4 linked regions of the Tamandua tetradactyla genome follow. The protein of the gene in region 1 binds, or shares a complex with, the protein of each later gene. Links are inferred from orthologs where the notes say so. Each region holds a gene or a part of one and is shown in the gene's direction. Other genes may lie near its edges. The genes, in order: CWC22, EIF4A3, SNRNP40 and CWC27.

Evidence for each region.
Region 2: the proteins of CWC22 (region 1) and EIF4A3 are in contact, whole or in part, in a crystal structure (PDB 4C9B), measured with the Homo sapiens proteins. The link is inferred for Tamandua tetradactyla from reciprocal best matches to the Homo sapiens genes CWC22 and EIF4A3. Residues at the interface, in NP_001362958.1 of Homo sapiens: Thr129, Gly130, Gly131, Ala132, Tyr133, Pro135, Pro136, Ala137, Lys138, Arg140, Lys164, Asn167, Gly168, Ile170, Asn171, Lys172, Val173, Asn174, Ser176, Asn177, Ile180, Ile181, Glu184, Ala207, Ser208, Ile210, Phe211, Tyr215, Lys330, Arg331; in NP_055555.1 of Homo sapiens: Met43, Gly44, Ile72, Ile73, Lys74, Gly75, Gln98, Cys99, Met183, Gln213, Val256, Ala257, Glu259, Trp263, Asp266, Thr267, Asp270, Leu271, Tyr272, Asp273, Thr274, Leu275, Thr276, Ile277, Thr278, Gln279, Ala300, Asn301, Phe302, Thr303.
Region 3: CWC22 (region 1) and SNRNP40 share a complex: the UniProt entries of both Homo sapiens proteins name them as parts of the minor spliceosome. The link is inferred for Tamandua tetradactyla from reciprocal best matches to the Homo sapiens genes CWC22 and SNRNP40.
Region 4: the proteins of CWC22 (region 1) and CWC27 are in contact, whole or in part, in a crystal structure (PDB 6YVH), measured with the Homo sapiens proteins. The link is inferred for Tamandua tetradactyla from reciprocal best matches to the Homo sapiens genes CWC22 and CWC27. Residues at the interface, in NP_001362958.1 of Homo sapiens: Leu239, Arg242, Lys243, Tyr245, Arg246, Asn248, Asp249, Lys250, His270, Glu271, Val272, Leu275, Glu276, Thr279, Leu280, Leu281, Glu283, Arg284, Thr286, Asp288, Ser289, Val292, Val307, Ser308, Pro309, Arg310, Gly311, Thr367, Met369, Leu372; in NP_005860.2 of Homo sapiens: Arg381, Glu382, Asp383, Gln384, Thr385, Leu386, Leu388, Leu389, Phe392, Lys393, Lys395, Leu396, Thr397, Ile400, Glu412, Asp415, Asp416, Glu417, Gly418, Trp419, Met420, Ser421, His422, Val423, Leu424, Gln425, Phe426.

Annotation. Positions count from the first base shown.
Region 1 is NC_135329.1:152,614,477-152,622,231, reverse strand, and holds the start of CWC22 (pre-mRNA-splicing factor CWC22 homolog), read left to right. Parts: upstream 1-4,592; 5' UTR 4,593-5,312; intron 5,313-7,755. UniProt on the Homo sapiens protein: Required for pre-mRNA splicing as component of the spliceosome. As a component of the minor spliceosome, involved in the splicing of U12-type introns in pre-mRNAs. Promotes exon-junction complex (EJC) assembly.
Region 2 is NC_135332.1:72,432,795-72,440,588, reverse strand, and holds the start of EIF4A3 (eukaryotic initiation factor 4A-III), read left to right. Parts: upstream 1-4,214; 5' UTR 4,215-4,306; coding exon 4,307-4,475; intron 4,476-7,794. UniProt on the Homo sapiens protein: ATP-dependent RNA helicase. Involved in pre-mRNA splicing as component of the spliceosome. Core component of the splicing-dependent multiprotein exon junction complex (EJC) deposited at splice junctions on mRNAs.
Region 3 is NC_135328.1:194,558,547-194,566,490, forward strand, and holds the start of SNRNP40 (U5 small nuclear ribonucleoprotein 40 kDa protein), read left to right. Parts: upstream 1-4,580; 5' UTR 4,581-4,643; coding exon 4,644-4,787; intron 4,788-7,000; coding exon 7,001-7,130; intron 7,131-7,944. UniProt on the Homo sapiens protein: Required for pre-mRNA splicing as component of the activated spliceosome. Component of the U5 small nuclear ribonucleoprotein (snRNP) complex and the U4/U6-U5 tri-snRNP complex, building blocks of the spliceosome.
Region 4 is NC_135335.1:112,328,601-112,336,927, forward strand, and holds the start of CWC27 (spliceosome-associated protein CWC27 homolog), read left to right. Parts: upstream 1-5,195; 5' UTR 5,196-5,635; coding exon 5,636-5,677; intron 5,678-8,327. Other genes in the region: protein SREK1IP1, read right to left, coding at 5,029-5,041. UniProt on the Homo sapiens protein: As part of the spliceosome, plays a role in pre-mRNA splicing. Probable inactive PPIase with no peptidyl-prolyl cis-trans isomerase activity. As a component of the minor spliceosome, involved in the splicing of U12-type introns in pre-mRNAs.

The DNA of each region.
Region 1 (7,755 bases):
CTCGTGAGCTGTCAGAAACTTTGTCAGGTCTGCATCATAGTCTGATGGCTCTCCCACTTAACAATAGTGCTTCCTCCATTTTCCTTTCACAGATGTTACTCTCCCAAAAAACCTTTTGCACTCCTGTCTCCATCTCAGTATATGCTTTCCAGAGGACCCAAATGACAGAGTGGTACCAGGAATTGCAAAAAAAGCTAGCGGTAAATTGGGATTTTTAAGACAGAATCACTTTCTGCCTAACTGGTAAAGGGGTCCCCACCCCAGGTGGTATATGGGCACAATTAGTCCCTAACACAATGCAATGGTCCAACTGCTAATACTTTTCACTGGTGAAGCAGGCTGCAACACAATACTGGATAAGGGAGAATTTATTGACTTAGAGGCACTCTCTTGAGATGTGGGATTTAACAATTTGGCAAAAATCTAAGGGAATACTACAAATTCACTGCTAGGGTGACTCCCAGAAACCACAAGAAAGTAATGGCCCAAAATGAGCAAAACTGAATGCCTGAAATACCATAGTTAACCATAAAGAAAGCAATAAACTCAGGGAAATGGACGTTGTGGAGAAGGTGCGAGGCCAGAAAACATACCAGAAAGTTATTTTCCCTAAAAAGGCCCAGAGGACACAATTCCCCAAGGCCATCAGGGATGAGTTGGTAAGAGGAGCACTAATATCACCAAGATTTCCAGTATCCAGTGCCGTATCTCCTCTGTAAGTCCAAGCTGACTATTGGAGAGGCTGTCACAGAACTTGGTTCATTAATAATAGTGAAGGTGATGATGCCCTGAAGCCACAGAGACTGAGGCACGACTTAACTTCCAGAAACTAGGGAATCACAATTATTGCAATAGTCAGCAGTGTCAGAGCAGCACCAAGAAGGGATTGTGAAGATTATTATTAGAACATGGTGTAATCAAGGGTAAAATATATGGACAACCAATAAGGATGCTGATGAATATTCATAATTAAGAGAAAGCAAGAATGGAAAAGCAGGAGGCTTTATTGGTTACCCCCAATAAAGTCACAATCTCTTATCCAGATGCTGGACCTGGGCAGTTTTCAAACCAATGATTGACGACTTGGCTAGGTCTGAGAGAGAAAACTCTTACAATACCATGTCATGTATATTCTGCAATGATTCCCTTGGTATTTCCCTAAAGGGACCCAATTCTACTTACTTGAGTGACTAAAAGTGACATTCAGCACTGATGCTAGGAAAGGGGCATATTTACCCATATCAAGAACTACTATATACAGGGCCAGAGTTGGAACTGATACCTGGAGATTTAAAGCATCATCATGGCTCTCCTGTTGGAGTGGAGGCATGTAGAGGTCAAGTAATAAATTAAGTCATGGCTAGAGTCTGACTCACCATGGGTCCACTCGATTCACAGCCCAACCCACTGGTCATTTACTAGGTCCCTGAATGTATTACTGGGACTCACATATTTTACAGTCAGAGTAATGTCCATATACGTTCATTGGCCTATGGAATAAGAGCAATCATACTGGGGAAGGCCAATTAGAGACATTTGAAATGGCCTCTCTTGGCCAATAGAGTAAATCCAAAACAATATAACATTCTAGGTGGATGGTTAATAATAATGATACCCTTAAGGGTGCAAAAGTGACAGAGCCCATCATATTGGGGGGACATTTAATTTACTAGTCTGTCCCCTGCAGAAACCAGATGAATTAGGAGAATGGTTGCAGACTATTGCAGGTTCAATCAAGTAGCAGCCCCAATTGCAGCTGCCATGCCAAAGCAGGACAACATGGTCTCAATTGCATGGCATATAGCCACTGATGTGAAGAATTCATTTTTCTCTATCCCATCCAGGAAGGACAATTAGAAATAGTTCATGTCTACATGAAAGAAAAAAACAAGAATATTCATTGACACTTTTTGCCCCAGGACTGCATTAGCTCTCCTACTCTCTCTAATAACATAGTCTGAAGGGATCTGGACCACCTGGAAATGCTGCAGAATATCATATTGATGTATTATATAAACATCACATTAACTGAATATGTTAAACAAGAGACAGCTAGCATACTGGAACTTAGAAGAGGGAAGTTAGAGTAGAAAAAACTACAGCCCCCATCTTTGCATGGTCTTGAGGGTACCACTGGACCCATTGTCTCTCTCCTGTACCATTCATTTCAGGAAGAAAGGCCCACTGGAACCCCGGGAGAACTAATTCCTCAATGTGTATGGAAAAGTGGATCTACATGGTGCAAGGACTAGACTGGCAAACAGAGATATGCTATTCAGATTCTTTTTCAAGAAAGGACTTGCTGCCCAGCTATAAGGAATGTGGTTAGGTGACAGCCTTTACTTGTTAACACCTTCAAGTGCGCCTCAGGTTTTGAGTTGAGGTACATTCTTCTTGGGGTGGCTCCAGCCAATGACTTTGTACCAACTCTGTGGTACAAAGGCCTAGCCATTTTGTCTCAATTTGGGACTTCTCAACTTTGCCCTGAAATGCCCCTTTTAATCTACATCTGCTGTGCCGATTTGAAAGGATTTATGTACCCTAGAAATGCCATGTTTAATCCTAATCAATCTTGTGATTTCTTCTAATCCCTATGCAGGTTTCCAATAGGTTGGAAACTTGATTAGGTTATCTCCATGGAGATGTGACTCATCCAAACGTGGGTATTAACTTTTGAATAGAGGGAGATGTGACTCCACCCATTCCAAGTGGGTCTTGATTACTTTACTGGAATCCTTTAAAAGAGGAAGCATTTTGGAGAAAGCTGGAGAATGACGAGAGCAGCAAAGACACGAAATCTATAGAGACTGCCAGCCAGTGACCTCTGGAGATGAAAAGGAATGCCCCTAGTGGGGCTTCATGAAGCAAGAGGCCTAGGGAGGTAGCTAGAAGAGGTTGCTGAGAGGTTGAAAGAGAAACCCTAAACTTCATCGGCCTTCTTGAACCAAGGTATCTTTCTCTGGATTTCTTAATTTGGACATTTTTATCCACTTGCTTTAATTGGGACATTTTCTCAGCCTTAGAACTGTAAACTAGCAACATTAAATCTCCTTTTTTAAAGGCCATTCTGTTTTTGGTATATTGCAGTTCGGCAGTTAGCAAACTAGAACACCTGCCCAATCCTGCTTCTTCTCTTTTTCTTTCACTTTTTACATTCCTACCTCTACCTTATTTTCTGCTTTTTGGAGGAACTAACCTAGTCTCTCCTGCCTCCATTCGGCTCTCCTAGGCTCAAATCTACTTTCTTATTTACATCAATAATTGCAGAGGTGTTATGGTGCTTCTTTCCGATAGGGACATAAATGTTTGCAAGATTCATCTCCTGTTCCCTCTATTGTTACAACTGAAATCTATTCCTCAAATATTTAAAGACACCAAAATGCACTTTTAACTTATGGCTAAATATCTTAAATATTAATAGTAACAGATAACACTTATTATATACTAGGCATTATTTTAATGCATCATGTGTATTAACTAATTCAATTCTAAAAACTACTCTTTGGGGTGATTACTATTTCTATTATTATTTGTCAGATCAAGAAACTGTGGCATGGGGTGTGAAGTAATGCCCAAGGTCACTCTGCCAGGAAGCAATGGACCCATGATTCAAATATAAGTAGGCTAGGTCCGGCGTCTTTTTTCTTAATCGCTACACTCTTCTGACTCTTGGAAAGTACTGGTAGCACAAGCACTCTATATAAGTAGTCAGACAACCCGAGCCTGGTTTATAAAAAGCCAGGGAATATAAAGACACAGTTGTTTTAGGAAAGGGTAGTTCCCCAACAGCAATTAGCAACTGAACTTGTATGCTCTGTTACTACTGAAAAGCAAAGCATAAGGAAATAGTTTGACGCCCGATCTGTGATCTATGACAGACCGCTTTTTCCAACTCTGCTGTATAACCTCCTTATCCTCAGTATACCAGTCTTGTCAGCTGGTATACCTTACCTAAGATAGAAGCATTATCTCCTCTCCAGAAGTAGTTTATCCGCATTATGGTCCTATATTTTTCCATTCACTGGGGCTTGAAATATTGGCACTTGGTAGGCACTTTGATTAATAGGCACTTGGTCAAATTAGATTGAGAACTCTTGAAAAAATTGTCTGCTCTTAAGAGTTTCACAGAAAATGATTGTTAAGGACTATTTTTTGCCAGCTGCAGAGTAATACTTTTGAAGTAAATTCTGCTAACCCCTAAATGTCTACCAAATTTCCATGGAGCTGTCTTGCAGGGAGTTCCAGGGATCTATTTCCGTCGTAGTGTGTGGCTCCTTCAGCTTTAAAAAAAAAAAAAAGGCTTACGTCATTTCCGCCAGCACAGGCGATGGATGCCGGACTTTGTAGTTTGTATCAATTTCCCTTTTGTCGCCGGGTAAGAGGAAAGTGTGGCCAGATCGACTGGTATTACAAAATGGTATTTAAAATAAACTAATAGTATAACATATCAAAGCTAACCGCATACATTTAAATATATCATATTCCGCCTTCCTTTTACTGCTGGCGCCAGGGAAAGGGAAGTGACGTATATCCGGTGTGATGGCGGCGCGGTGGAGCTCCAGGTAATTATCAAACTCGGTGGACGCGCCATAGACAGCGGGAATATGGGTAGCTCGTCGGGTTGGGGGGGAAGTTAAAAGGCTCAAGAGTGGGTGCGGAGCCTCTGGTTCGCTTGTGGGCAGTAAGCTGGCGCGCGTACTTCCCCCGCCGCGCGCCGGCCTGCGAGGTGGGGGTGTGAGCTCAGATCGCATCGAGGAGTCCGAGCTAGTTGAGAGGGCCTGTGGGGAGTTCGCGGCCTCCCAACTTGTGCGAACGGACCTGGCTTCCTTGTGAGGATTTTTTGGGCTGTGTCTCTGCCCTTTTTTTTTTTCCTGCAATCCACTGCAATCGGTGGTTTGCCCTTCTTGTGCGGTGTGATTTGGACGCGGGTCGCTTAGAGACTCTCTAGTCGATTGGGAGCCCCAAGGCCCCCTTTCCTAGAGCCCGGGTTCCGGAGCCATGGGGGTGGAATTAGTAAACAGCTGATTATAGGTGGTCGGAGTTCCACTTTTCTGCCTCATTCCAGCTCATTGTCACTGTCATTGCCTCTGAAAATCTTATTAGTTTCCTTTTCCTTGCCTTGCCCCGCAAATACTGATGCTTTTCAGTGTTTAGGCTGGGAACTTTACTTCCTCGTTGTGTGTCCGCTTCTGTCATCCTTCATCCTCCGAGTACTTGAACTATCTCTAGTAAGATGATAACTCTCAAACTTGGGTCTGCAATCTTCACCGCTCTTCAGAGCTACGGATCCTACAACACACTTGCATATAATGGTAATTTAATAGTTAATTTCACTGAATCTAACTGCAGTAACCGTTTTACCGTCACTTACTCCTCACAGCAATTCTTTGAGGTAAATGGAGAAGGAAAGATACAGAGAAAGGCTATTCCATATGTAAAAATTGGTAATTGAAAGTGCATTAAAAATTCTCTTTGCATATTTAGGTACTCAAAGAAAAGGAATAGAAGATAGATAAACAAACTTGGTCTTCAGAAGACCAGTTAGCCTTCCCCTTCCTAATCTATATTTAGACTTCATTGTTTGGGGATGACCGGTGAACTCAGAAGTTAACGTTAATTATTATTCTACTACAGAAAAGCAGATTACGAATTGGCATTAAAAGGGTGGTTTGACTACAGCAAGTGTATGTCTTTGTTGCAGGGTATATATGTATGAGGAGATACCTACTGTGTTGATGCTGAATGTTGTATAAGCCAGATTCCAGCCTTGGCTGGGTGTCTTTTAGATCTGTCACCTGGAGCAAGTTATCTAACATTTCTAATATCAACTTTCTCATCTAAAAAAATGTGGGTTATAGTAGTATATGCCTCACTGGGTTGTTTTAAGGATGAAAGAAAATATAATGTGTATGAGGCACTAAGCACAGTGCCTGGTGTGTAGTGGTAGCTATTATTACGTTGTTATTACTACTTCAGTTGATGGGTTCTTGCTGTGTTTCAGTTCTTGTTCCTTGGTTCTGAATTACCCTTACACTTTTAAGTGCCCATACCACTTTTTATGGAAACTTTCTCAAACCCATTTGGCTGGAGTTCTGAGACTCGGCCTTACCTATACTTTTTTTCCTATCAGAGGTCAAGAATCTTGATCTAATACTGTTTTGGAAGTGTAATCTTCTGTACTAGCAGCATCGATATCTCCTTGAATCTTGTTTGCAGTACAAATCACTCCTGTCCTGCTGAATCTGGAACTGCAGACAATAGAGACCTATCAATCTGTTTTTTAACACACTGTCCAGGTAGTTTCATGCCAGTTAATTGAACCACATCCCTTAGAGATCACCTGTGTATTTTGCAGTTTTGATGTTTTGCCACCCCGCCCCCTCCACCCCCAACCAGATTTGTAGCACTCCTTGCGCAAAAGTATTTGATCCTTGGCCAGCCCAGTTTATCTCCATTAGTGTGTCCCTGTTCACCACCTCCTTTAGGTTAGTTCAGCTCCAACCACTTCTGAAGTGCAGATACTTCCCAGACTACCAAACTTATCTTTCCTAACGGCTTTCCTACCTCTGCCAGTTTTCCCGAGTGCTGAATTGTTAGCAATTATTTCTCCATTCAGATGATCATACTTTGCTAAGTGATCTATAAATAAATGGCTTGTACCTGAGACCACCTGAGAGAGGACACAGTGGCATCATGGAGTATTCATAATGACTTATGCCTTACCTTGAATATTATGTCTGTTCGTTGCCCACTTTGATTTAGACTAAATTTTGTGCTACCTGGTGTATCCCTAACTTGGTGTGAGTTGTGGCTGGTCTAGACTTAGTCTAAGAAAGATTTATTGCTAATAATAATGTAATTGCTAATACAGCGGATCCTACTGATGACTTTGAAGGCTCCCTGTTGCATTTCCCTACTTTTCTGTTTAAGTCTGAGAATCCTAGCATGAGAAGGTGTGATGGTTAATACAGAGGATGATGGAACAGTGAGATCTCTGGCATATTCATTCACAAAACTTCTCGACTTACTAAACTTTATCTCAATATTTATATTTCTCAAGTGGACTTTGGAATAGACATTTCATTGTCTGCAACAAAGTGCAAACTTTTCAAAGCATTTGCTTCAAAAAAAAATAGTACATGAATCATGTCATCAGAAGAAAACAGCGATGGATTAAAGAAAGCCTTTGCTGTTTGTGGCCAAGCTAGATATTAACAGGTCCTTCCTAGTGAACAGATAACCAAACATAAGGTGTGGGCTGCCTTGGTCTGGGGACATAGAAATCTGTAATTAAAAAATGGGTTAGCTAATGGGAGGGAAAGCCTATTAGTAGACTCATATTTAACCTGACTTTGAGCCTAACGCATTAATGGACCAGAATTAAAGCTCAGCACTACCAGTGAAAAAGTTACCTTGAGTCCTTCCCTGAATTGGTTTATCAGGACAACTTTATTCTAGACCAGGATAGATAAGTGGTGACAGGAGACTCTATAATGGAATGTAGTGCTGTGTGTCTAGGGACTACTTCATAAATGTCTTAATTTAGGCCAAGCATCTCCAAGTTATTTTCTTTAAGACTGTCCCATTATGAGATCTTCCCTAAATGGAACCTTCTTCCAACCTTCTGTATACAGTGACATTAAGACTGGGGAAAAATAGGAGCAGATATTTTCCTATAAATTGAGGAGGTAGAATCCACAGGATTTGATGACCGGGAATGAGAAAGAGAAAATTGCCATGTGTAAAGCTTTATGG
Region 2 (7,794 bases), on another chromosome or scaffold:
TGTGCTGGGGAAACACGGAGAACAGACAGACAAGGTCCCTGCCCTTCTGGAGACTACCGTTTAATCAGGAGAGGAAGCCCCCTGCCCCCCGAAAATCCTAAACTCTGTAGAAACTGAGTCACCAGAGCCAGAGTGGGTGCTGAGAGGGTGCACGATGGGTACCCCCGCCCCCCCCGCTGGCGTTGAGGCACCCAGTGGGGCTGGCCTGATGGGTCCAGCGTGGAAACCCGGCACGTCCACTCTGCAGGGCACTCTGCTCCTCCCTGTAGGTCACTTTAGCTTTTCTAGCTGGCCATTCACTCTTCCACTAGTCAAGTGGTTAACATATCACATTGCCTGCACTCTCTACTTGGATTGCTAATTGAGGTTTCTGATAAGACTCCAAACATGAGTCTGGGAATGTAAGCAGAGGGATTAGATAGCAGGGGGTTGTCAATTCTTGCTTCTTAAGTAGATGCTGATGTGCCAAGGCTGCCTCAGAGCAAGTGTTTTAACACATACTGTGAGCAACTGAGGCATGCTCTCTCGTGTGACCAATGAAGGGATAATCGCCTACTAGTGATGAGTGCTTGGAAATTGTCTGGATGCCACAAGGACTTTGGTGGGCAATGCCCAGGTTTTGTGAAAATGGGCATCGAGGTTTTTTGTTTTGTTTTGTTTTTGTTTTTTGCATGGGCAGGCACTAGGAATTGAACCCAAGAACTCTGCCTGCTGAGCCACCGTGGCCTGCCCTGTGCATCGAGTTTTAATAGAAAAATTGTTCTCCTGAGAATTCTTGTTCTCCTTGCAATTACCCAGAACACTTCGTCCTGCATCATGACAAAAATATGGGTCTTTTGTGATCTACTGCATGAACCTCCAGCTCTGAGCTCCCTAAAGAGTGGACGTACAGGGTTTATCACACCTGGGCCGCCCTCCCAGTCATGCTGGGCACCTCCCATCATGCTCTATCCCAGCACCTGCTCTGTCTCCAGTGCCTCAGTTACCACCAAGTTTACAATTTTCAGGGGGCAGGAGGCTACCTCACCTGATGAGACTGTAGTTTCCAGGAGGGCAGGAACCATATCTGTTTGGTTCTCCAGGTTTCCTAGAGAGCATGGTTCACCTAGAGATAGCATCGGCCCCCTTCCCCTGAGCTCTTCTCATTTTCATGGACTCTAGGTTAAACCATTATTAGCCCCAGTTACAGGTTGAATGCACTCCCCAAAAGATATTTCAGAGTTCTAACCCTAGATACTTGTGCATTACTTGAAAACAGGGTTGCAGCAGACAGAATTAGTTAAATTAAGATGGGGCCATATTGCAGCAGGATGGGCCCTTAATCCAATATGCTGGATATCCTTATAGGAAGGGGAGAGGAGGGACAGACACCCATTAGAGAGAAGATAGCCATGTATAGATGGAGGCGGTGAAAGTACTGATGCAGCTACAAGCCAAGTCACAGTAAGCACTGCAGGGAGCTGTCAAAAGCTGGAAGGGCTGAAGGAGAACACTCCTCAGGGGTTTTAGGGGGAGTGTGGCCCTTCCAACCCAGTGATCGCAGACCTCTGATCCCCACAACTGCAAGAGAATAAGTTCTGTTGCTTTGAGCCCCCCAGTTGGTGGTACTTTGCTATGGCAGCCCCAGGAAATGTAGAGAGCCCCAAACAAAAGGAAGAGAACTTAAGACGAACACTCAGACACAACAAAAAGGACATTGTTAGGAAAATGGCATAAAACGTTTAGAACACCTTGCCATGAAAACATGAAGGCAAAAGACAAGTCTAAGTGAAGACAAAAAACAAGTCTAGGGGCAGCCTGACTAAGATTAAAAAAAAAAAATTCAGAACGAGTAGAAGACTGGAATAATTTCATTCCCTCCTTATTGATACTGGAATTTTTCAAATCACTAAATTTCTATTCTTTCCCCTTATGCCTGGCAAGGTTCTTTTATATGCTACCGGGTACCCTAGAGCAGCACTATCCAATAGGAATTTAATATGTAGTTTTAAATTTTCTAATAGCCATATCTCAAAAAGCAAAAAAATGAGAGGCATTAATTTAAATAGCATATTTTATGTAACCCAAGATACCCAAAATATTATTGCAACAGTAACCAATATAAAGTTATTAAAGAGAAATTTAACACTATTTCCTTACACAACACAGCCCTAGAGCGCCAGAGTCCTGCTTGCAAAACTGAGATTGTACACCTCAGAGAAGGTATGGAATAATTCTTCATGGGGTGAGAAGAAAACATAAGAACTTGCTTTCGGACTTCATTTATCTCGAAACATAAGAAAGAATTTCAGCCTTACAAATATTTGGTATTTAGATTGCTCTGACACCCTTCTAGGCCCATGGAAGGTCAGTCATCTCAGGATGGACAGACCTGAGTCCAGGGCAAGGCCTTCAGGTGAGAGAAGCCCCACCCTCCCATTCTGGGTCAACATATTTCAAGCCACTGAGAATCCCATGTACCTGGTTCAGAGGATAAAACTATTGCCTGATTTTAGATTAGCCTCCACAAAAGCAGTGCTTTAAACACTCCAGCCAAGAGGCCATGGATTAAAGGAACACCCTGTGACTGAAGCCAGGGGAACAAGGCGAAAGGACAGAGCCGACACTCGCTGGAAGTTTAACTTGCAAATAGTTAAAACACAACTCTCATACAACACGGAACTGGACAGGTGTCAAAAAGCAGTAACTCTAACCCATTAAAGAGGGACTCAGTGAGATGGTAAATCTGGCTCAATCATCACTGAGAAACTGGGTTTCTGAAGGCATTTTTGAAAAGTTTAGAATAAGCTGGCTAGGTTAAATGCACAACTCTACTCTGATACAAGATGTATTTTATTTATTTATTTATTTATTTATTTTCTGGTCAGCATAAATGCGTATTTTACATCTTCTCAGAACACAACTTGAACATTTTGAAATATTTCTACAAGTTTTAATTTTCCCTCTATCATCTTAGAATTATTCTATTTCTCTGCTTCTGTTAAGATTAACAAGGATCTGAATTTTATTTTCATTTTCTTTCAGCATTTCAGAATTTGGTCTTCTGTGGTCTAAACTCCACTGCTAATTTTCTACAAAATACTTGGAGGATTTTTAATTCCTTTACAATAACTAACATACATCTTAATATATGGTATGTAATATACATTTGATACATAGTATATTTATCATTTTCACAGCCACATAATACTCCATTGGGTTGAAAATACATAATTTAATTAAAAGTTCCTTTACATTTCGCATTTAAGTTATTTGCTGGGTTTTGCTGTTAGGAACACCTTGTTCCTAACATACTTGTGTCTCCTTTTGAATTGTTTCTTTGGTCAAGAGATACGAATATATATATTTTTTTAATTTATATTTTATTTATTTTTAAGGGATACAGAAATATTTGCATTTTAGTTCGGGATACGTGTATTTTAAATGACCTCATCTTTTCCCCAGGGGAGAAATTATTAGCGCCTCCTCCAGACAAAATCTAGGCGTTAATGCACGATCCCACGTGTAAGCCCTGACATTACAGCAAACTGCAAAAATGAAACAAAAGTACTAACGACGCGATCCTTTACGGAAGGATGCTCACGTCCAAGCCTGGACACTTCTCACCGCGCGGCGCTCCGGGGCAACTTCGTATTGCCCACGTGGGACCTTAAAAAGGGGCAGTCCCGTCAGAGCGGACAAACAGCTAGAAATTCAAAACTTTCCCCAAACAGGTCCCTTGAATATGGTTTCTAGCCGGTTTTAATAAAAACGAATTTCACACGGGGCTCATAAAGAGATGCCGATGATAACATCAGCCTAAAACGCATAACCAGCAGACACTCAGATTTTAGAGATGCGCGCTCACATTTTCACTGCGACCCTCTGGGACCTCGCCCAGTTTCCACGGGCCTCCCGCCTACGCCGACTCGCGGCGGCCATTCACAGCACCCATAAGTGACACACAAGTGTGTCCCCGTGTTGTTCATCCGCTCACCCAGACATCGACGACTACAGCCCCCAAACCACCCACGCTACGCTCTCCCTCAGCCGCCCCAAGTTTCGAGAAGGGAGGCGTGGCTCCGGGCGCTACATCCCGCGGGAGCTTCAGATCTCGCGAGAACTTCATCCACCACCGCTTTCCCTGCGGCGAACGCCTCACCCCTTTCACGTGACCAAGAGCGTCCGACGCACGCTCACACGCACGGAGGCCACACGCACGCGCGCGCGATGGCGTCAGTTCCCGGCGGCAGCGGCCTGTTTCCGCTTTCCGCCTGGGACCAGCCACCGGTCCGCCGCGCGCTCGTCTCTCGGTGGCCTCGGAATCATGGCGGCCACCGCCACGATGGCTACGTCGGGCTCCGCGCGGAAGCGGCTGCTCAAAGAGGAAGACATGACCAAAGTGGAGTTCGAAACCAGCGAGGAGGTGGATGTAACCCCCACGTTCGACACCATGGGCCTGCGGGAGGATCTTCTGCGCGGCATCTACGCCTACGGTCGGTGGGGCGCGGGCTTAGGGGAGCCCCGGGGCGGCGGCATTCCGGGAGGGGCGACTGGGTGAGCAGGTCGACGTGGGGGGTCGTGGCGGAGGCTCCGAGGCTCCGGGGATCAGTGACGTGAGATTCCCCCCGCCCCGGCGCACAGCCGTCACTCCACGTCTGCATCTTTCGTCCCATATGCTCTCCCTGGTGCAGAGTGCCCTGCTAGGCTCAGCAAGGGGTGCAGAGTCTCCAGGCACCTTAAGAGTCTCCATTCATAGGAACTGTTTTATACGCATTAGGCGTTAGGCAACAGGTGCTGCTCTGGGCAACGGGGATTTAGCAGCCAGCCAGGCAGTTTCCTGCCTTTATGGGGCTTAAATACTGTTTGGGAGAAGGACGAGGTGTAACTAAGGTTGTTTCAGGCAGTGATAATTTCATTGGGGAAAATAAAGCGGGGTGAGTCAGTACTGAGAGTGACTGTGAGGTGGGTGGGGGCAGTTTTAGTTGAAATAGAGCAGATAGATAAGGGGAGTGACGCTTAAGCTGAGACTTGAATTAAGCGCCAGCCACAGAAGTCCCCGCAGAGGCAGCTGGTGCCAGCTGCCCGCACATCTTCCCAAGCACGGTGTATTCCAGGAATCTAAAGAAGCCCCTGTTATGAGCTTAGGGGCGAGTTTAGAGAGATAGGCAGGAATTGAATCTTGCAAAGCATTGTTTGGGGTGATAGAGTTTGAATTTTATTTCTAAAGAGAGTGTTCCGGGTGCTCTGTGGATTTGGAGGGAAGGTGAGGCAGGGTTGGAAACAGGGACTTAGGAGGCTTTTGCTCTAGTTTAGGTGAGAGATGATGCCTTTGCAGTGGACCGAGAGAGGAAGACAGTGGAGCTGATGTGACAGAATTTGCCAGTGATTTTGAATGCTAGTGGCAGAGGACCCCAGCCTGATTTCTGGGGGGGTTGAGTAACTGGTTGGGTGATGGTGCCATTTGCTTGACGGGGGGTGGGGGCGGGAAAATGGGGTAAGGACCTGGGAAGACAAAATTAGGAGCTCTGTCTACCTTGGACATGGAGAGCTTGAGAGGCCTGTGAGCCATGCACTTGGACATTTGGGTTGGCAGTTGTCCAGGCAAGTTTGGAGTCCAGGGAAGAAGTCAGGCCTGATGGGTGAATGATCTGTGTTTAAAGCTTGGGATAGGGTATCGTTCATCCAAACAATTTCCAAAGGTCCTTGATAGCACAAGGCATTAGAAGAGTGAGGGGAAAGCTGTCTGAGGGTTTGGAAGGTGAAAAGAAACCCTTGACCCTGATAGTGAGGCAGGCACCGTTCTCGTCATCCCAGGGCCTCCTTGTTCTAAAATACTGTTGTTGGTTCCCAACTGTGTCCTTGCACATTCCGAGGGATTTAAAGGATATTATATTTGCTTTTATGTTAAGATGGGAACTTGTACTGTATTTTGAAAAACAATTGAACTATGATTTTGTATATAAAGTTTTGTTTACTTCGAACATGGTCCTTCAAAATAACCCCTCCCTTGGTAGTTGCTGTACCAGAGGATAGCAGGTGGGTGATTACCACAGCTGCCTGGAGACCGGATTCTCTATCTCAGGACACACAGTATGATCCAAGCAGGAACTAAATGCAGTTAGAGTTAACACAAATAGCCCACACACATAATGCTGTAATCAGTGTTACAGATTTTCTTTTTTAATTTAAAAAGTAATACTCTCCTCCAAACAAACGAACAAAACAATACAGGCTTTTTAGATCCAGCCACAAAGATAGAACTAATTAAAGAAAAAATTAGGTTCTCTTCCCCCAACCCCATTTCCAGGGGTGACCACCAATGACCTTTTGGCACCCATACTTCTAGATGTTGCATACACATACTTTTTTTTTTTGATGTTTTTATTGCAATATCTTCACACACCATGCAGTCCACCCAAAGTATACAATCAGGAGCTCACAATATAATCACATAATTGTGTATTCATCACTATGATCATTTTTAGAACATTTGCATCATTCCAGAAAAAAGAAATAAAAAGAAAAACCCCATACATCCCATACCCCTTGACCCTCCCTCTCATTGACCACTAGTATTGTAGTCTACCCAATTTTTTTTACCCGTTATCCCCTTTCCCCATTATTTATTTATTTATTGTCCTTATTTTTTTCTCATCTGTCCATACCTGGGTAAGCCACAATGTTTTCACAATCACACAGTTACATTGAAAATAGGTAGTTATACAGTTGTCTTCGAAAATCAGGGCTACTGGCAAATCAGTAGGCCATGCCCTCGATCATGAGGCTTACTCTGGTGAAGCTTATGTAGGTAGCGGAGAAGCTTAGATCTTCCTATAGGCATGCCTAAGAGTTACTTCTGGAAGACCTCTGTTGTTGCTCAGATATGGCCTCAGTCTCTCTAAGCCCAATTCTGCAAGTGAAATCATTGCCCTCCCCGCTACGTGCGACATGACATCCAGGGGTGAAAGTCTCCCTGGTGACATGGGAGAGGACTCCCAGGGATGAATCCAGACCTGGCACCATGGGATCATCAATTACAACCTGACCAAAAGGGAGCAAAGAAGTATAATTAATAAAGTATCAGTGGCAGAGAGTTCAGATAGAGTCGAGAGGCTACTCTGGAGGTTGCTCTTACACAAGCTTCAGGTAGACCTTGCTACCTGTCGTAACCTGCCAGCACGCAACCAGGACCATTCCAGCCAATCCTAAAGAGCACCTAGGGCAATATATAAGATTCCACAAGGGTTCCAGGCACTAGAGTAACTTTCCGGAAACCTCCAGATGGGTCCCTGGTCCAGATAAGCCCTGAAACCTAGCTCAGCCTCTCCAGAACATCAGATAGTTCCATCTCCCTACCCCATATTAGTGGCAGACCCTTCCAATAGCAAAAATTTAGAATTGTCATAGCCCAAAAAACCCCAAAAAGAAGTATGGAAAGATTAAAGGTGATGGTGGAATTATACATAGAAGATAGGACTTAACAAATGAACATGAATTCTGAATCATTAAACTGATATCTCTTTTAGTCTCCAGTATTTTAGAGCAGCTAGAAGTAAAAATCTATAATTGTGAAATTGTAACCCACAATGTTAAAGTCTGAAATATGTTCTACGACTAATTATGGTGCTTTGCTTTGAAATACATAGCTTTTTTTATATATGTGTTATTTTTCACAAAAAAGAAGAAAAAAAGTCAATTGTGATGATAAAAAAAATATTTAAACCAATGGCCACCTATATTCTGGAGCAGCTAGAAGGAAAAATATGAGAGGATTGTATGATAGCCCATGACAAACTCTGTAATCTATCCTGT
Region 3 (7,944 bases), on another chromosome or scaffold:
CAATATATATAGCAGCACAATTTTTTTTAAAAAGTAGTAACAAAGAAAAAAATATCAGACCATGTCTAAATTTTGTAAAGACAGCTCTAAGACTAACTTCAAGATCAGAGGAATCACTGAAGAGTCACGAGCAGGACATCATTCATGAGGGAGGCTAAGATGAGGAGGGTCTGGATTAATTTATTCAAACATGAAATCGAGGATCATTTCTTATATGATTTTGTATTCCCAGTGCCAAATACAGTAGGTACTCAAAGTTTTCTCGAATGAATAAATAGAGCCTTACTATGTGCCCAGCAGAGGTGGAGAAAGGAGGAAAGCATTCTAATATCTAAAGGATGTAGAGTAGAAAGAACTGGAGTCTGGAAAGGTATAGTTTCAGACAAAAGAACCCACTCCAGCTAGGTTAGGCAAAAAGGAATTTATATCTAGGTATTACATGACTTACAAAATTAATGGAAGGGCTATAGGAGCAGGCCCTGGCAGAACTTCCCAACTCCTAAGCCACAAAATAATATCATGTTTGCCATGATCAAAAAGGTATGGCCATCACTGCAGAAAGTCACCAAAGCAGGTGGCTGTTGACTGGAAAACTCATTGCCTCTGCTATATTTTTCAGCAAAACCTGATGCCTCTAAACGAAATCACAAAGAAAGACAGATGATAAAGATTGAGATGGTATAATCTAGGAACGCCTAGAGTGTATAATGATAATGACTAAATGTACAAATTTTAAAAATGTTTTTGCATGAGGAAGAACAAAGGAATGTCATTACTGCAGGGTGCTGAAAACAGATGGTAATTAATATTTTTAAATTTCAACTTATGTGTGAGACTAAAGCAAAAAATGTTTATTTGGTACAAAATTTATATTTTGACTAGTGCATTTCCTAATACAACATATGTAGATAGTTGGTTGAACATAAGTACGTGAAACCTTGGGTAGGACATGAGATTTTGCTGGTTTGTCCAGAGTGATGCCCCAATGAATCCCAGAGTGATTTGATCAGTGAATGGAAAAGTATTTGCAAAGTCCCCTTCCGGGAATGGTGAGAACGGGAGAAAATTCAACCTCCCCCAATTGAATTCTTGATATTCTCATAAGCAGTGTGAACAACCAAAGCTATAGGCTGAGCCCCCAGTCTTGGGGCTTGTTCATATGAAACTTAACCCCACAAAGGATAGGTCAAGCCTACTTAAAATTAGGCCTGAGTCACCCCCAAGAGAACCTCTTTTGTTGTTCAAATGTGGCCTCTCTCCAGCCAACACAACAAGCAAACTCACCACCCTCCCCCTGTCTACGTGGGACATGACTCCCAGGGGTGTGGACCTTCCTGGCAACATGGGTCAGAAAACCTAGAATGAGCTGAGACCCAGCATTAAGGGATTGAGAAAATCTCTGGACCAAAAGGGGAAGAGTGAAATGAGACAAAGTGTCAATGGCTGAGAGATTCCAAACACAGTGGAGGGGTTATCCTGGAGGTTATTCTTATGCATTAAGTAGATATCACCTTGTTATTCAAGATGTAGTGGAGAGGCTGGAGGGAATGGCCTGAAAATGTAGAGCTGTGTTCCAGTAGCCATGTTTCTTGATGATGATTGTATAATGATATAGCTTTCCCAATGTGACTGTGATCGTGAAAACCTTGTGTCTGATGCTCCTTTTATCTACCTTGTCGACAGACAAGTAGAACATATGGAATAAAAATAAATAGGGGGAACAAATGTTAAAATAAATTCAGTTTGAAATACTAGTGATCAATGAAAGGGAGGGGTATGGGGTATGGTATGCATAATTTCTTTTTGTTTTCATTTTCTTTTTTTGTTGTCTTTTTATTTCTTTTTCTGAACTGATGCAAATGTTCTAAGAAATGATCATGATGATGAATATACAACTATGTGATGATATTGTGAATTACTGATTAAATATGTAGAATGGAATGAGCATATGTTAAGAAGGTTTGAGTTTCTTTCTTATAATTTTTTTTTAATTAAAAAAAAAAAACCTGATGCCTCACATTCAGCTTCTCTCCACAATTAATCCAGTTCCAAATTCAATTCTTAGGAAAGAATTGGAATAGTTTTTCGCTTTCTAGCCTCTTCCGTAAGAGAAGGCACACTAGAAGCAGGAACGTGTTTTGAGCCAGCCAAATCCACAATATTTGCCAAACTTGTACTAAACAGCCTAGTGTTGCTGGGGGAAAAAAAAGTATAATCTCCAATCTCCAATGGGTCCTTAACTCTGCCTGGTAATCCTACATTTCTCTAGTAAACACATTCTCCCACACTCTACAATGACTTTCAAATCTTCTTCAATCTACTCAAACCTCTAACCTACTCTCACTCTAAGCATAAAATTCCACCTCTCACTTTACAAAGAAAATAAAAGCCATGAGAAAACAATTCATCTTACCAGTACCAAACATACAATCTCTATCTATACCTTCATTTCCTCCTTCCCTTCTGTTAAATGGATAATGAATCCATCTTCCTAAGGCTGCTTTCTCCACCTATACTTTGGATCCCATCCCCTCCCACCTTCTCAGAAATTTTACGCTATTGGTGACCCAATTTCTCTCTTGAATATTCAACTCTGTCCTCTCAATTGGATCCTTGGTAACTCCTCATCCCCTTTAGCTACCACATCCTCTCTAAAATAATGTCTAGATTGATTGCCTGGATCCTTGTCTCATATCTGGCTTCCATCACAAAATAACTCTTGCCAAGGTTACCAAGAACTTCATAATAAAGACAACAGACTTTTTTTGATCCTCATGCTATTTAAATTCTGACACAGATCATTCCCTTACTTCTAAAAGAATATTCCTCTCGTTCTCTTGTAGGTTCATCCTCCTGTTCTTGGCCACTAAATGTTGGAACTTCCCAAGGCTCTGACCCATGTGATCTTACCCACACATACTACTTAATTATCACCTAGATTACTCCCAAATCTACTATGTTCAACACAAGCATGGCTTCTGCGCTCCAAAGTTCAACTGCCTCCTAGATGTCACAAATGAATCCCTCCATAAAAAACCCAAGGAACAAAACTAACAAACTAGTTTCTAGTCATTTTCTAGCGTTCCATTGAACACTACAAGATATTCTAATGCCTCACTGAATGGTACTGCTACGTATTCAGCTGCATGAGAAACCTAGGGCTTATCTTTGCTTCCTCTCTCTTAAGTTTCAGGAATCCAACCCATCACCAGTCCTAACCATTTTACCTCCTATATATCTCTAGAATCTGTTCAATTCTCCACAGGTCCACCAAGATATGTCAGTCCTCATTGCCAATTATCTCTCACCAGGACCACTGCAGAACCTAAGTCGTCTATCTGAATTCACTACGGCTCACCTTCAATCTGTTCACACCACTGAGACAAAGGGGTCAAGCCACCGCCCCTTCCACACATACAGCCCCCCCCACCCACCCAAAAAACCAACCCTCAGTGATTCCCATCTCATCTTAAGATAAAAGCTACAGATCTCTGCAGGGCCTAACCTTCTAACCGCCTCCAATTTCATCTTGTACCACTCTCCCCTCGTTATCTTTGAAGCAGTCACACTGGCCTCTTTGTGCCTTTTGTCAGTCACCCATGTAATGCTGTGGCTTCCTCTCTTCACCTAATTATTTGGAATTCAGCTCAGGCATCTCTTTCTCAGAAAAGGCTTCCTGCATATTTAAGCACTCAAAGCGTCAGATAGCTGTCCGAGGTAGCACTTATTTTACATTAACTAAAGAGATGTTAGATTGTTTAACATCTGTTTTCTCCACCAGACTCAATCTCCCTGACGTCAGGGACTATTTGATTCACAACGTCTCCCAAACGCACAATAAATATTAGTTGAATGATTGAGAAGAGGACCTAGTTCACAGATGTGAGTCTCAAGCTTCTCAATATAACTGCGCTCTCGAGAAGCAGAAGGCGGATATTTTCTTCATCTGTCTCTCTCAGCGGCATAGGGGAGACTCTAATGAAAGACTGTACAGTCAGTTGCAGAAACAAGCCTCACCTCCTCAGACAGGGAGTCTAGGAGACAGGCCTTATCTTCCTGGGAGCGCCCCACACATGACTGGACACAAGTGGGCGATTATCCAAGTCAGTCGTCGAGGTCCCTCCAACACCCCACCCGGCAGCTACAGGGTCTGGGTCCTGCCGCCAGACAGCCCAAACCTCGGCTCCCGCCAGGAAGGAGAGCCCATGCTACTACTTACCAGGGATAGAAATCAGGACCCTCAACTGAGAAGGGCCATGCTCAAACCCCACAACCAAAACGCTGCCTCCAGACTCGGGTAGCCACCCCCTAGCTTCCTTATACTTACTCGGCGTCAAGTAGAAGACAGCCAGCCACGCCATTGCGCGAAAAGCCGAACCCAGTCGGCGCGTTTATACCCACAAGACACAGCGCGCGTAGGCGGGACTCCAGGTTCATCCGCCAACCCTGAAGTCGGGCATTCGTGATGTTAGGAAGAGCTGCCCAATAACAAGAGACTATCCCGAAAGCGACGCAGCCTATTGGGAGATGATTGGGTTCTCCAAGCCGGAAGTTCTAAAGGAAAGGCTAAGTTCGAGCCAATCGCGCTGTGTGGAAGCGTGCCGCCTCGGTCCCTACTGGCACTGAGAGGAGCGGCTGCCGCCATGATAGAACAGCAGAAGCGCAAGGGCCCTGAGTTACCACTTGTCCCAGTCAAGCGGCAGCGGCATGAGTTGCTTTTGGGAGCGGCGGGGTCGGGCCCCGGAACCGGGCAGCAGCAGACGACGCCAGGAGCTTTGCTGCAAGCGGTAAGAAAAGGAACAGGTGGCCTTCGCTGCTCGGCTTCTCTTGCTCTCTCCTCAGAGCGCCACACCGAGTGATGCCGCATTGCGGGAGAGGAACGAGAATATTGACCTGGAGTTAAACTCTTTAAAAGCGCCCTATACCCTACAGATGCTCGATACGTGTTCCCGCGTTTGATGCCCTTTTTCAGCATCTCGACCGCCCTGGAGGTGGCAGTAGAATTGGAATGAAGAGCCATAGGCTCATAGCTGGCCTCAGGGCCGCGGCTTAGGCTTCCAAAGTTTTCCAGGGATCCGGGATAGAATAAACATTTGGTAGAAATTTGTAGAGTGAATAAATGCGTGAGTGAGTGAAGGGAGAATGCGATGAAATGAATGTTATTGGCTCCCTTAGGGACCGGGCAAGTTGGTTTCCCTCTTTCAGCTTCCCTTTATTTCTCTGTACTAATATTATGAACTGGATAGTACAGTTAGTATTCATGGAGCCCTTGTGCTGAGTGCCTTGTGTATGTGATATCCATTCATCTTGGTAACAGCCTAGGAGTTAGGAACTATTATCCCATTTTGCAAATGGAACAACAAACTCTTATCAAATAAAGTGATGGAAATAGATCTTGAACCCAGGCAGTCTGACTCCACAATCCATGCTCTTAACTGCTCTTGTAACGTGAAGAAGTAGTGGCCACTTCTCCTCTGCTGCTGTGAGAATCAGATGAAAGAATATATGTACTCTCTTTTTTTTTTTTTTCAAACCCTCAACCAACCCATCAGCGAATCCTGCCAGAATTGCTATTTCTATCATCTCTATTGCTTCCTCTTGGTCTAAGCTATTATTTGTCTCATCTGAGATTTTGCAGTATGGTCCTAATCAGTCTTGACTGTTTCAGCTCCTGCTTTCTACAATCTGTTCTCAGTCCAGCTTTCCATTTCACTCAGAGTAAAAACCAAAAACTTCACAATCTTTTGCCCACTTTTCCCTCTACCTCTCTGATACATCAATCTTCTTTCCTTGCTCTGGTCTCTATGCTCCTGCCTCAGTGCCTTTGCATTTGCTCATCCCTTTGTCAGCATGTTCTTCTAAATGCTTGCATGGTTTACACTCTCAGCTCTTCAGTTTTGTGTAAATATCACTTTTTCCGTGAGTTCTTTCCCGACCACAGTATTTTAAATTGCAATATCCCATACTCTCTATCCCACATTCCTCCTGTTTTTCCCTATTGTACATACCATTGTATGTAATATATATATATTTTAAACTTTTCTCTTTCCCATTCCACCAGAATGTAAACTCTATTGATTTTATTCACAGATGTTTTTGCAGTTCCTGGGCACATATTTTTTTTAATGAATAAATAAGCTGGAAACCACTGAAGAGATGTGGAGATTATTGTTAGTGTGCCTGTTCTTCCTACCAACAAATTAGAGCATCAGCCCAGGTTTAGAAAGTGAATTGCTCAAGCCTAGGCTTTGTGTCCAGGGCCATAATCAAATCCTACTTTCTGCAGGAGTCCCTACCCTGCAGGGTTGTTGTTAAGCTCAGTTCTGTCGTTCACTCATTAAATGCACCAGACATTGGGAAAAGATTGTTGAATGACACAGGCAAAGTCCCTGCAGTCATGGAGCTACTGTTCTAGTGTGAGAAGCAGACGAAATATATAAACAAATATATGAGAAAGGTAATTTCAGATGGTGATTAAGGAATATGGATGTGTGTGTGTGTGTGTGTGTGTGTGTGTGTGTGTGTGTGTGTATGGAATATATATATAAGGAATCACCTTATATTAATATATAAAGTGGTATGTACTGTATGAAGTACAGTAGGTGATTGGAATACAGGTGGGGAAGAGTCAGGGGAAACTACAAATGCAAAGATCCTGCAACAGAAATAAGTTTAATGTTTGAATAATAGAAATGTTGGCTATGGGACAGCAGCAGAGGGAGGGAGAGAAAGAATTAATGTAGCAGGTGATCATTGGAATGTTCAACAGAAGAGTATCGTATTGAGACATGACAAACCATGAACCAAGTATAAAAAAGTTTTTTGCAGCAAAAAAAAAAAAAAAGAGGCATGCATGATGTGAAAAGAGCTGAAATCCATTCCATCCATCGTTTTCTCTTCTCCCTCTCTCTCTCTTCCTACTCCCCGCCACCACCCTCAAATTTTTCAGCCTCCTTTGCTTATATACAGTGAGTACTCTGTGTTTCTGTCTTTTGTTTAGGGGCCTCCAAGGTGTTCCTCTCTTCAAGCCCCAATCATGCTGCTCTCCGGACATGAAGGGGAAGTGTATTGTTGCAAGTTTCACCCCAATGGATCCACTTTAGCATCTGCAGGATTTGATCGACTGATATGTAAGACAGTTTTTGAATCTGATGTAATTGCACTCTACCATGTAGTGATTATTTTTTATCTGTGATCAGTGTAGATTGATTATCTCTGAAAATGAGGAAACATGACAAACTACATTGCTAACAAACTAAAGTGAGGTTGTGAGAATTCTAAATGATCTTGGGTATAGAACTTGGGGTATGTGTGGTAAATACAGAAGAGATTATATTACTAATTGGAAAGTAAGTTCTGGTTTGGGAATACCTTCCTCATATAGGCAAGTGTTGAGCTGATTTAGCAAGACGAGATCTCCAACTTTTTGTAATGAGGACAGAGAAAAGTTCTTTTCCCAAAGTTGTGAGGCCCTCCTGGGGATCCATACTCACAGTCCTAGCAAATAGGAAGGAAAGGGGATTCTAGAATAGCAACTGCCTTAGATATTATTAAGATCTATTGCCAGATTCTTAACTACCAGTCAGGAATACCCATTTTGGAAGAATAAGTAGAAATAAATCACTTTGAGGGGTCATGTGAAAAGCATAGAGAAGATAATCGAGCATTTTTTTCTTCTCTGTATTTACCCCATTATGAAATGAAATTAGTCCCTTGGCTCTTTTAGTAACTATGCATCAGGGTGGATGTTATCTGTTTTCACTGCCCATTTTGATTTAGATACTCCAGTTCTGTCATCTTTAAACTTATTGATGGCCAAGCAACTGGAAGGCATGAGATTCTGTGCACAGCATCCTTAAATTTTTTATTTAATTTCATTAAAAAAAAAATTTGTAGGGCGGGCCACAGTGGCTCAGTGGGCAGAGTTCTTACCTGCCATGCCAG
Region 4 (8,327 bases), on another chromosome or scaffold:
ACAAAGGTTGTACAGCTTTATTAAAAAAGCAGAAAGAAGTAGCAGGGAAGACTTCCAGTTGAGAGTTCAGGAGAAGCTTCCCACAGGTGGATTTGGGCAGTAAAGGAGAGACATTGGTAACAAAGGCATGAGACAGCAAAGTGCATGAGAAGCTAAGGGAATGGTTCTCCAGGCGAGACGGCGACAAGGACGCACAATGCCTGAGGGGACTGGTGGGAATAATGGGCAGAAATAACAATCTGGCCTTGCTTAGGCGTGTGCACCTCATTCTCGCAGAGACAGAGAGGCATGGCATTATAACATTTTACAAGTGAAAGAAATTTTAGTCATCAATTCTTTTATTTTTAGAAATAAGGAAACAGCGCCTCAGAAAGGTTAAGTGGCTTGAAGAGAAGTAAAAATTTCACAGATTTGGGTCAAGAACTAAGTTCCTGCCTCCCAGGAATGAAAGGGTCAGTTATATGATTTAGGAAAATTATTTCAATAGGAATAAGCAGATGGACTATAAGAGAAAAGAAATGACCTATAATACAGTTTAAAGGAGTGAAAAGAAATTAGATTAGTGTAATTCAGAATTTTTATATTACTAAGATGTTATCGTCATGTGTTGTAAGAATTTGATTGACTTTGACATGCTAAACTAAAATGTTAATTTGGCTATAGAACATTCACTTTCTTACTCCACAGATTTCACTGGAGAGAAAAAAATTGTCTTTATGTGCAAATCACATCAGTAGAACATTGCCAATTGTGCCAGGTCTTTTTGTGGTATAGGCTCTTTGTGGAAAATGGCAAATCATTGACATGAATGCCATAAATAATTTCAACAACTGCTGTAAGTGGAAACAGCAGAATTTAACGTTTTCCCCTTTCCCTAATTCAGAACATAAAAATTCCAGCATTGCTTTAAAACAGGGGCTGCAAACTGAAATGCCTTCAGGAGTCTGGTAGATAGCTATGACGGCAACTTAGTTCAACGTACACTACCTAAGTGCCTGGCCTGCTCTTAACACCTCATATGCACTAATTCACTTAATTCTAATAATAAATCTTAAAGTCAGGGACTGTTATCTCCATTTTACATATGGTGAAATTCAGGCACAGATAGGTTATATAACCTCCCCAAGATTACCATATATAAATGGTGGTGCAGGCAGATTGGTTCCAGCGCTCATGATTTAACTACTATATACAAATTCACTACCAAGGTAACACAAATGAGTGAGGAAGGTCAAAGACGAGTTCGTGCTGTGGCAAACTGAACAATGGCAAGTCCAGCCAAAAGGGGCCTGTCATCTCTCATCAGTTACTGCAGTGTCAGAATGTGGGTATAGTATTGTCAGAATCTTTACTTTTTCAAAGGTGAGCAAAAGTCTAGATTTGTGTGTGAAATCCTGCCCTCCGACCTCCACCACATACTTTAAAAATATTTCTTGCCAGTGTTTCTGAAATCCGTTGAACCAAATCTAAGATATCTAAAAAGTTCAACCCTGGCCAGAGGCTTCAAGGCTTACTTCAACATGGCTTGTTTATCTACATATAAATTGAGTAAGCTTATATATAATGCTATGGAAAAATAGGCTGAATCAGGTGAGCATAAAACCAAGGACACCGATTTTGATGTGTGGTTTGTGAAAAGTAGCCTCATTATTTGACAGTCAGTGCTTGTAATAATCACTAGCCGGAGCATCCTGAGAAATACCATGCTAAATCTATACCAGCATTATAACTAAAAATAAAATAATATATGTTCTCAATGATCACTTCAGAAGGTTTCTGATAGACCCCTATTTTCCTTTAATACACTATATGGATCGATCATGCAAGAAATTATCTTAATTTTTTCTATACCTGTATTTTCAAATGGCACTTCCATTGTACTTTTACAATGCTGTCACGCGCATTATCTCAATTTTTGCTGGGTTTAAACAGTTTATGTCTTGCCATCTAGCTTAATGGCACAATTTAAGATTATTACACTTGGAAGCATTATTTTAAATTGAGAAGAAGGTTAACAGGTCTATAACCTTGGTCTAAGTGTAAGGGATTTCAATAAGGGTGTTGAAAAAAAATCACTTTTGTCCCCTGTCTTAACCAGTGCATTTTCATTACTAGACTTAATTTTTATGAGGCCACATACTGTAACATTGTGTCTTTCTGAGTGCCAATAGCATGTAGTTCAGTTCATGAAATCAATGGTGACATCAGGCCAACTTTAGATACAACTGTGGCCACAGACTGTAACATTGTATCTTTCTGAGTGCCAACAGCATGCAGCTCAACTAGTGAAATCAGTGGTGACATCAGCCAACTTTAGATATAACTGTGTCAATCTTTAACAACTGTCTTCCCATGGATCAACAGGGCTGATGTGGCTTATGAAGATGTCTGAGCAATCAGCTGTGCAGCCTTTCTTTCTCTCCTGGTCTCTTAAATAGTGATCTTCCCCAGGCTTCAGTCACAGGCTTACCTTTCACACTCTACACATTTCTCCTGAGCAGACTTCTACTCTCATGGCCTTAACACCTATTTAATACAGACATTTGGGTGGCACTGAATGACACCAAAATCATTGCCTCTTACCTCAGCTTCTTTGCTAACCTAAAATTTATATCACTAAATGACTGCTGGATACTCCCATTATCAACACGCCCCAAACTGAAGTTATAATCCTCCCCCTTAAAACCTGCTCCTTCTCCAATGTTGCCTACATCAGTAAATGGCCCTGCCCAAATGTCTAACAGTGATTTCTAGATAAATCACACTTCCTAGTGACGCTGCCTCCAAAAACGTATCTCCAATCTGTCTGCTTCTCTCCACTCCTATTGACACCATACTTCAGTGAGGAGTCATTGCAATTCACCAGAATTATTCCTAACTGGTGAATGCCTCAAACTATCTCCCCTCTATTGTGCAGCCAAAATGATCCCTTCAAATCATGAATCTGTTTAAAAACACATAAATGATCTCCAAACACCCTTAGGATAAAGTCTAAACTCCTTGTCATGGCTTACAAATTTGTTCAAGAGCTGGAAGTCACCTTTTAAGTTAATATAGCATGGCAAATGGATAAGAGCATGGGGTCTAAAGAAGCCAATCTGATCTAGCTCCATCCAGCTGTCTCACAACAGGCAAATCACTTGACTTCTTTGTCCCTCAATTTCATCCTCTGTAAAAACGGGATAACAGTATGTATCTCATAGTGCGGTTGTGAATGTTAAATGAGAAAAAATAACAAACCACTTGACACAGTGTCTGGAACACTATCTGACACATAGTAAATGGTCAGCAAATAATAGCTATTGTTATTATCTTTCTAGCTCATTTCTCACTTCTCTCCCATTTGTCCTTAGAGTTCCATCCATAGCGCCCAGTGAACCTCTTTCATCCTTCTTCTCACTGGTCCATTACATAAAGTCCCTTTGATTGCATGTTTCCCTCCATCCCCCTCTTCAGCAACTCTCTGGACTCCTCTGGGAAAGTCATCTGTGCAACTCCTAGATGCTCCCTAAGGTTCTGTACTTGTCTTACTTTCTAGTACTATTTTTTCTCTCCCTGTTAAACTGTAGGTTTTGTGTAAAAGGGTCCATGTCTTTCTTGCTTACCACTGAAATGGTTTTGTACCCCAGGAAACCCATGTTCTTCTTTCTAATTCAATCTTGTGGGGGCAGACCTATTGTTTGGGTGGGATCTTTTTGATTAAGTTGTTTCCAAGGAGATGCATCTCTGCCCACTCAAGGTAGGTCTTACTGGGCTTACTGGGGTCCTTTTAAGAGGGAGCCATTTTGGGAAAAGCTTAGAGCCGACACAGACAGAGACATCTGGAGATGCAGGAAGAAAACGCCCCAGGGAAGCAGTTTGAAAACAGAAGCCAAAGGACCAGCAGACACCAAGCATATGCTTTCCCAGCTGACAGAGGTCTTCCAGGCCTATCTTGAGTCAGGGTATCTTTCTTTGGATGCCTTAGTTTGTAAATTTTTAATGGCCTTAGACCTCTAAACTTGTAACTCAATAAATCCCCTTTATAAAAACCAATCCATTTTTGGTGTATTGCATTCTGGCAGTATTAGCAAACTAAAACACCGTTTTATCCCCAATGCCCACCACAGTGCCTGACACCTGACAGGCAGTAAAGCTGTCAGTGTATGAATGTGTGCATTTTTCCTCTCTCACAGCTCAGTATGTGTTCCTCTCAAAGCCGCAAGCCAGCAGAAAAGCACAGCTGTACCGTAACAGCTGTCCGCAGAACACACTTCAGGACAAGGCTGCCACAGGACAAACGCTTCTGAACCACAGCACTTCTCAGAATCCTATGCTCAAGTGCATTGTTAACCTCCAAGCGGGGGGCAGAGGGCGTGTATTTCTGCATACATCTCCTGCACTGAACGCTGTGGCACAGGCCAGTCTCAGGAGATGCTCACCCCCGCTGGACGTCTAAGGCAGACAGCAGCTGTGGGCGGGGAAGGCTCCGAAGCACTCGGACTGCAGGGTTCACGGGTGGCAATGAGCACCCTTTACACACAGAACCTGACACGGGGAAGAAACCGACAGGATTCACCCAAGCGCCTCCTCTGACCCAACGAGGCCCAGAAGAGCAAAGGGAACGGTCTGCGGCCACAGGCAAGCGGAAGCGCTGGAGGGGGAGCCCCGGGCGCCCGCAGGGCCCGACCCCACGCCCGCCACCACGCCCGGGACCCGCGGGGTCGCCACGCGCGCCCATTCGAATGGCATCTCTAAGCCACCCCGAAGCGACGGCCGAGGCCTGCCACCCCTTCGGGCCTCCACGGGCTGCCCTTCCTCCTCCTTTCCCCCCCAGCGTTTCTGCGGGGAAGACGCCTGTCCGCGGCGGGGAGACGGCTTCCGCCCGCTCTCAGCGTGGGGCTGGGAGCCGGCACTTGCTGCCCCCGAGCCCCGCAACCCAGCGGCGGCGCGGCGCCTCCGCCCGAAGGCGCCCGGCATCGTCCTCTCCCATCCCAACCGCCCCCTCCCCGCTCCCGCTCCCGTCCGAGCCCGGCAGGCCGTCCTCACCTGGGATTGCCATGGTGCTGGCAACAGGGGGTCAAGGGTGCGCGCGTCCCGCCGGCGCGGGGACAACGCCCGGCCGAAGCGGCCTCGCCCTCGCCGCAGCGCCGCCGAAGCTCCGCGAGAGGCCCGGAAGGGCCGCTAAGCCCCTGGCGACGGCGGAACCAAGGCGTCGCCGCTGTGGTTTCCGGGCGAGTCACGGTGCAGCGAACATTTGGCCTGAACCATTACAGCCAACTCCTGAGGGGTGCGTGTGTGTGACCGACACAGGTGTGTGGCGAAAGTGAACACCACGAAGACTCAAGATGGTTCTTTAACTTTTTAAATACGAATAACTTTACGCTATAGACGCTGAAGACTCTTTTCTCCTTCCCTGGAGGATATCGGAATCCCCCTTATCGGGGTTAGCGGTGTTCGGGTCCGGGAGCAACATGGCGGCATGCGTGAGCGGCTAGGTTGGCGGGCCCAGGGCGCGGCGTCGCTGTCTTTCAGGGCCTCGGCTTACTGGAGCTCTCCGCGACCGCCTCCTCCAGGGAGCGTGAACTCCTCCGCGGTAGCGTTCGTTGACCGGAGTTTTGCGGACTTCGAAGTAGAGCCCTGAGCACCGACAAGGATGAGCAACATCTACATCCAGGAGCCTCCCACGAACGGGAAGGTGAGCGCCTCACCTGGGGCCTCTGGGCTCCCGGAAGCGAGCCCTCTCCCACTAGGAGGGCTCTGAGGTGTTCGGGATGGAAGAGGCCACAGGGAGTGTCGTCGTCCCCCTGTCTCGGGACGAGGCGTCGAAAGCCGTACTGAACACTCATAGCATGGATTGGAAAACCAAGAGCTTGGGTGGAGAGTTCCTCCATTGCCCTCGCCGCGGGGCCTTCTGCCCCCGACCCAACTCGTGCAGGCGTTTACGAGGGTCTTAGGGTTTTAGAAGCAAAATATGAAATTTAACATATTATTTTCTTGGCTTGGAGAGCTCTCCTTTTCGCATCCGTTCTGCAATCATTTGTTGAGTTCTTGCTGTGCACGGGTGCTGTGCTAGGCGCTGGGGATGCAGAGATGGGTAGGCCTAGTTACTGCCCTGGAAGAGCGCATAGTTAAGTTTACAAGACAAGCCCTAAAGAAAAAGCTTCCATATACGTCTAGTAGGCATCCTTGTGGAAACAGAATCATTGTTCTATGGCAGTACTGAGGAGTGAGCCGCTGGAAAAGTTAGGAAAAGCTTCTTGGAGCTGAAATTAAAACACGAGATAATTGCCAGTCAGAGAAAGTGGAGAATGGGGAGTGTTCCCATATTTGAATGGGAGGTTAGGGTCCTGATCGATTTGGTGGTCAAGGTACGTCAATTCCCATCCACGGTGTTTGTATGCAGTATGAGGCAGAGAAGTTAACGATGGGATTAGTGTCATTTGCATTCTTGAACTGAGACCTAGTCTATATCATATGTGAAATATTATGAAGAAAATAGTGGGACTTAAAGTATGTGGTTTGATTAGGGTAAACGAAATTTGCCTACAGTACAGTTCTGTTGCATGACTGTATCATAAATTACTTATGCAATCTTCTATTGATGGTCATTTGGTAATATAATGAGAGCAATTTGTAAACGTACAAAAAGTTTCTGTAATGAAATATCCTTGGCAAATATTTTAAGGGGAATTATGGGCAGAATTAATTCTTTGTTGTTTGACCTTCTCCTGGGCACTCCAGATTAGCATTCTCCCTTTCCCCCATGTCATTGTCAAAACCCCAAATAACTATCCCCTCGTTTTTCCAAATGTTTCTTGGGGATGATATTACCCCCAGGTGATAAAACCTGGCAGAAGATTGAATAAATTACCCATCTTGCCAGGCAGAGGCTTCACACTTGCTCTTCTCCTTGGTTTGTTCTTCTGCCTGCTCAAATGTCATCCTAAAAAAGAGGCCTTTCCTATTTGCCCTCCGTGATGGTTGGTTCATGTGTCAGCTTGGCCAGAGGGTGGTGTCCGGCTATTTGGTTAAGCAAGCACCATCCTGATGGTTCCTGTGAGGCCGTTTTGTGGACGTAAATCATCAGTAAATTGATTGCATCTATGGCTGATGACATCTACAGTCAACTGAGGAGATGGCCTTCACACTGAGAGATATATCATCCAATCAGTTCAAGACTTTAAAAGATGACGTGATGACTTCAGCAGTCAGAAGAATTTCTATCTCCACTTCAGCCAGCCGAGTAGAATTCCAAGGTTCCCCCAGAGAATTCATCAAAAACCTTCCCCAGATTTCCTGGCTTGTGACCTGCCCTTTGGAATTTGGACTTATGCATCCCCACAGTTGTATAAGACAATTTTTATAAAAATCTCATAGTATATATCTCAACAGATACGTCCTTTTGGTTCTGTTTCCCTACAGAACCCTGACAAAGACACCTTCTATGACATAGCATATAGTAGTCATGCCCTGCATCCCTGCATTCCCTGGCCCCCTGAACCTATTTTTCTGTAGTACTTATTTTCTTGTTTATCGTGCATCCCCTTCCCTCAGAGAATGCAAGTTCTCTGAGAGCAGAGATTTTGCTTTGTTCACTGTACTTAGAACAGTGCTTGATGCATAGTAGGAGTTCAAATATGTATTGCATAAATGAATGAATGTTATTTCTCTTAGCTTCTGAGAAGTATTAAGCGTCGGTGGGTTTAAGTAGACTGTGACTGGTTAAGTGCAGGCTGACTTGCTTTTTTGAGGAAGACTTAGCATGGTCATATAGATGAAAAGCTTAACAAGGTTACATGCCTAAATAGAAAACCATTTATTCATCAACAAATATTTTTTGAGCACCGAACACATACCAGGCTCTATGCAAGGTTTTAGGGATACAACAGAAAGAAAAAACAGCATTGTCCCTGTCATCATGGAGTTACCTTGGTGACATATGTGTTGACCAAATAATCATGCAAATAAACACGTAATTGCATACTGTGGTGAATAATGTTAATCTTTTGGACAGTAGTGGACTGAGGGAGAACCTCAGGCAGGGCCCAAGTTTTGTCCAAAAACAATTTGGGAACTTTAACAACATAAGGATTATTGAAGAGATTGAAGCCCTGAAGTTCTATACTGTAGGAAGTGTGGCAACTAAAGTGTACTGTAGAGAGTGTGGCAAGAATTTTGGTCTTGCAGGAATTTAAAGCACCTGTAATGACAAGTCTGCTCAGTAAATGTTTGTTTCATACCTGTGCTGTTTAATGGTGCATTGGTTTCTGAAAGCATTACAGAGATATCCAGAATCAATGGGAAAAAAATTCTTCTCTTCAAAGAACATCAAATCAGCTTGGGAA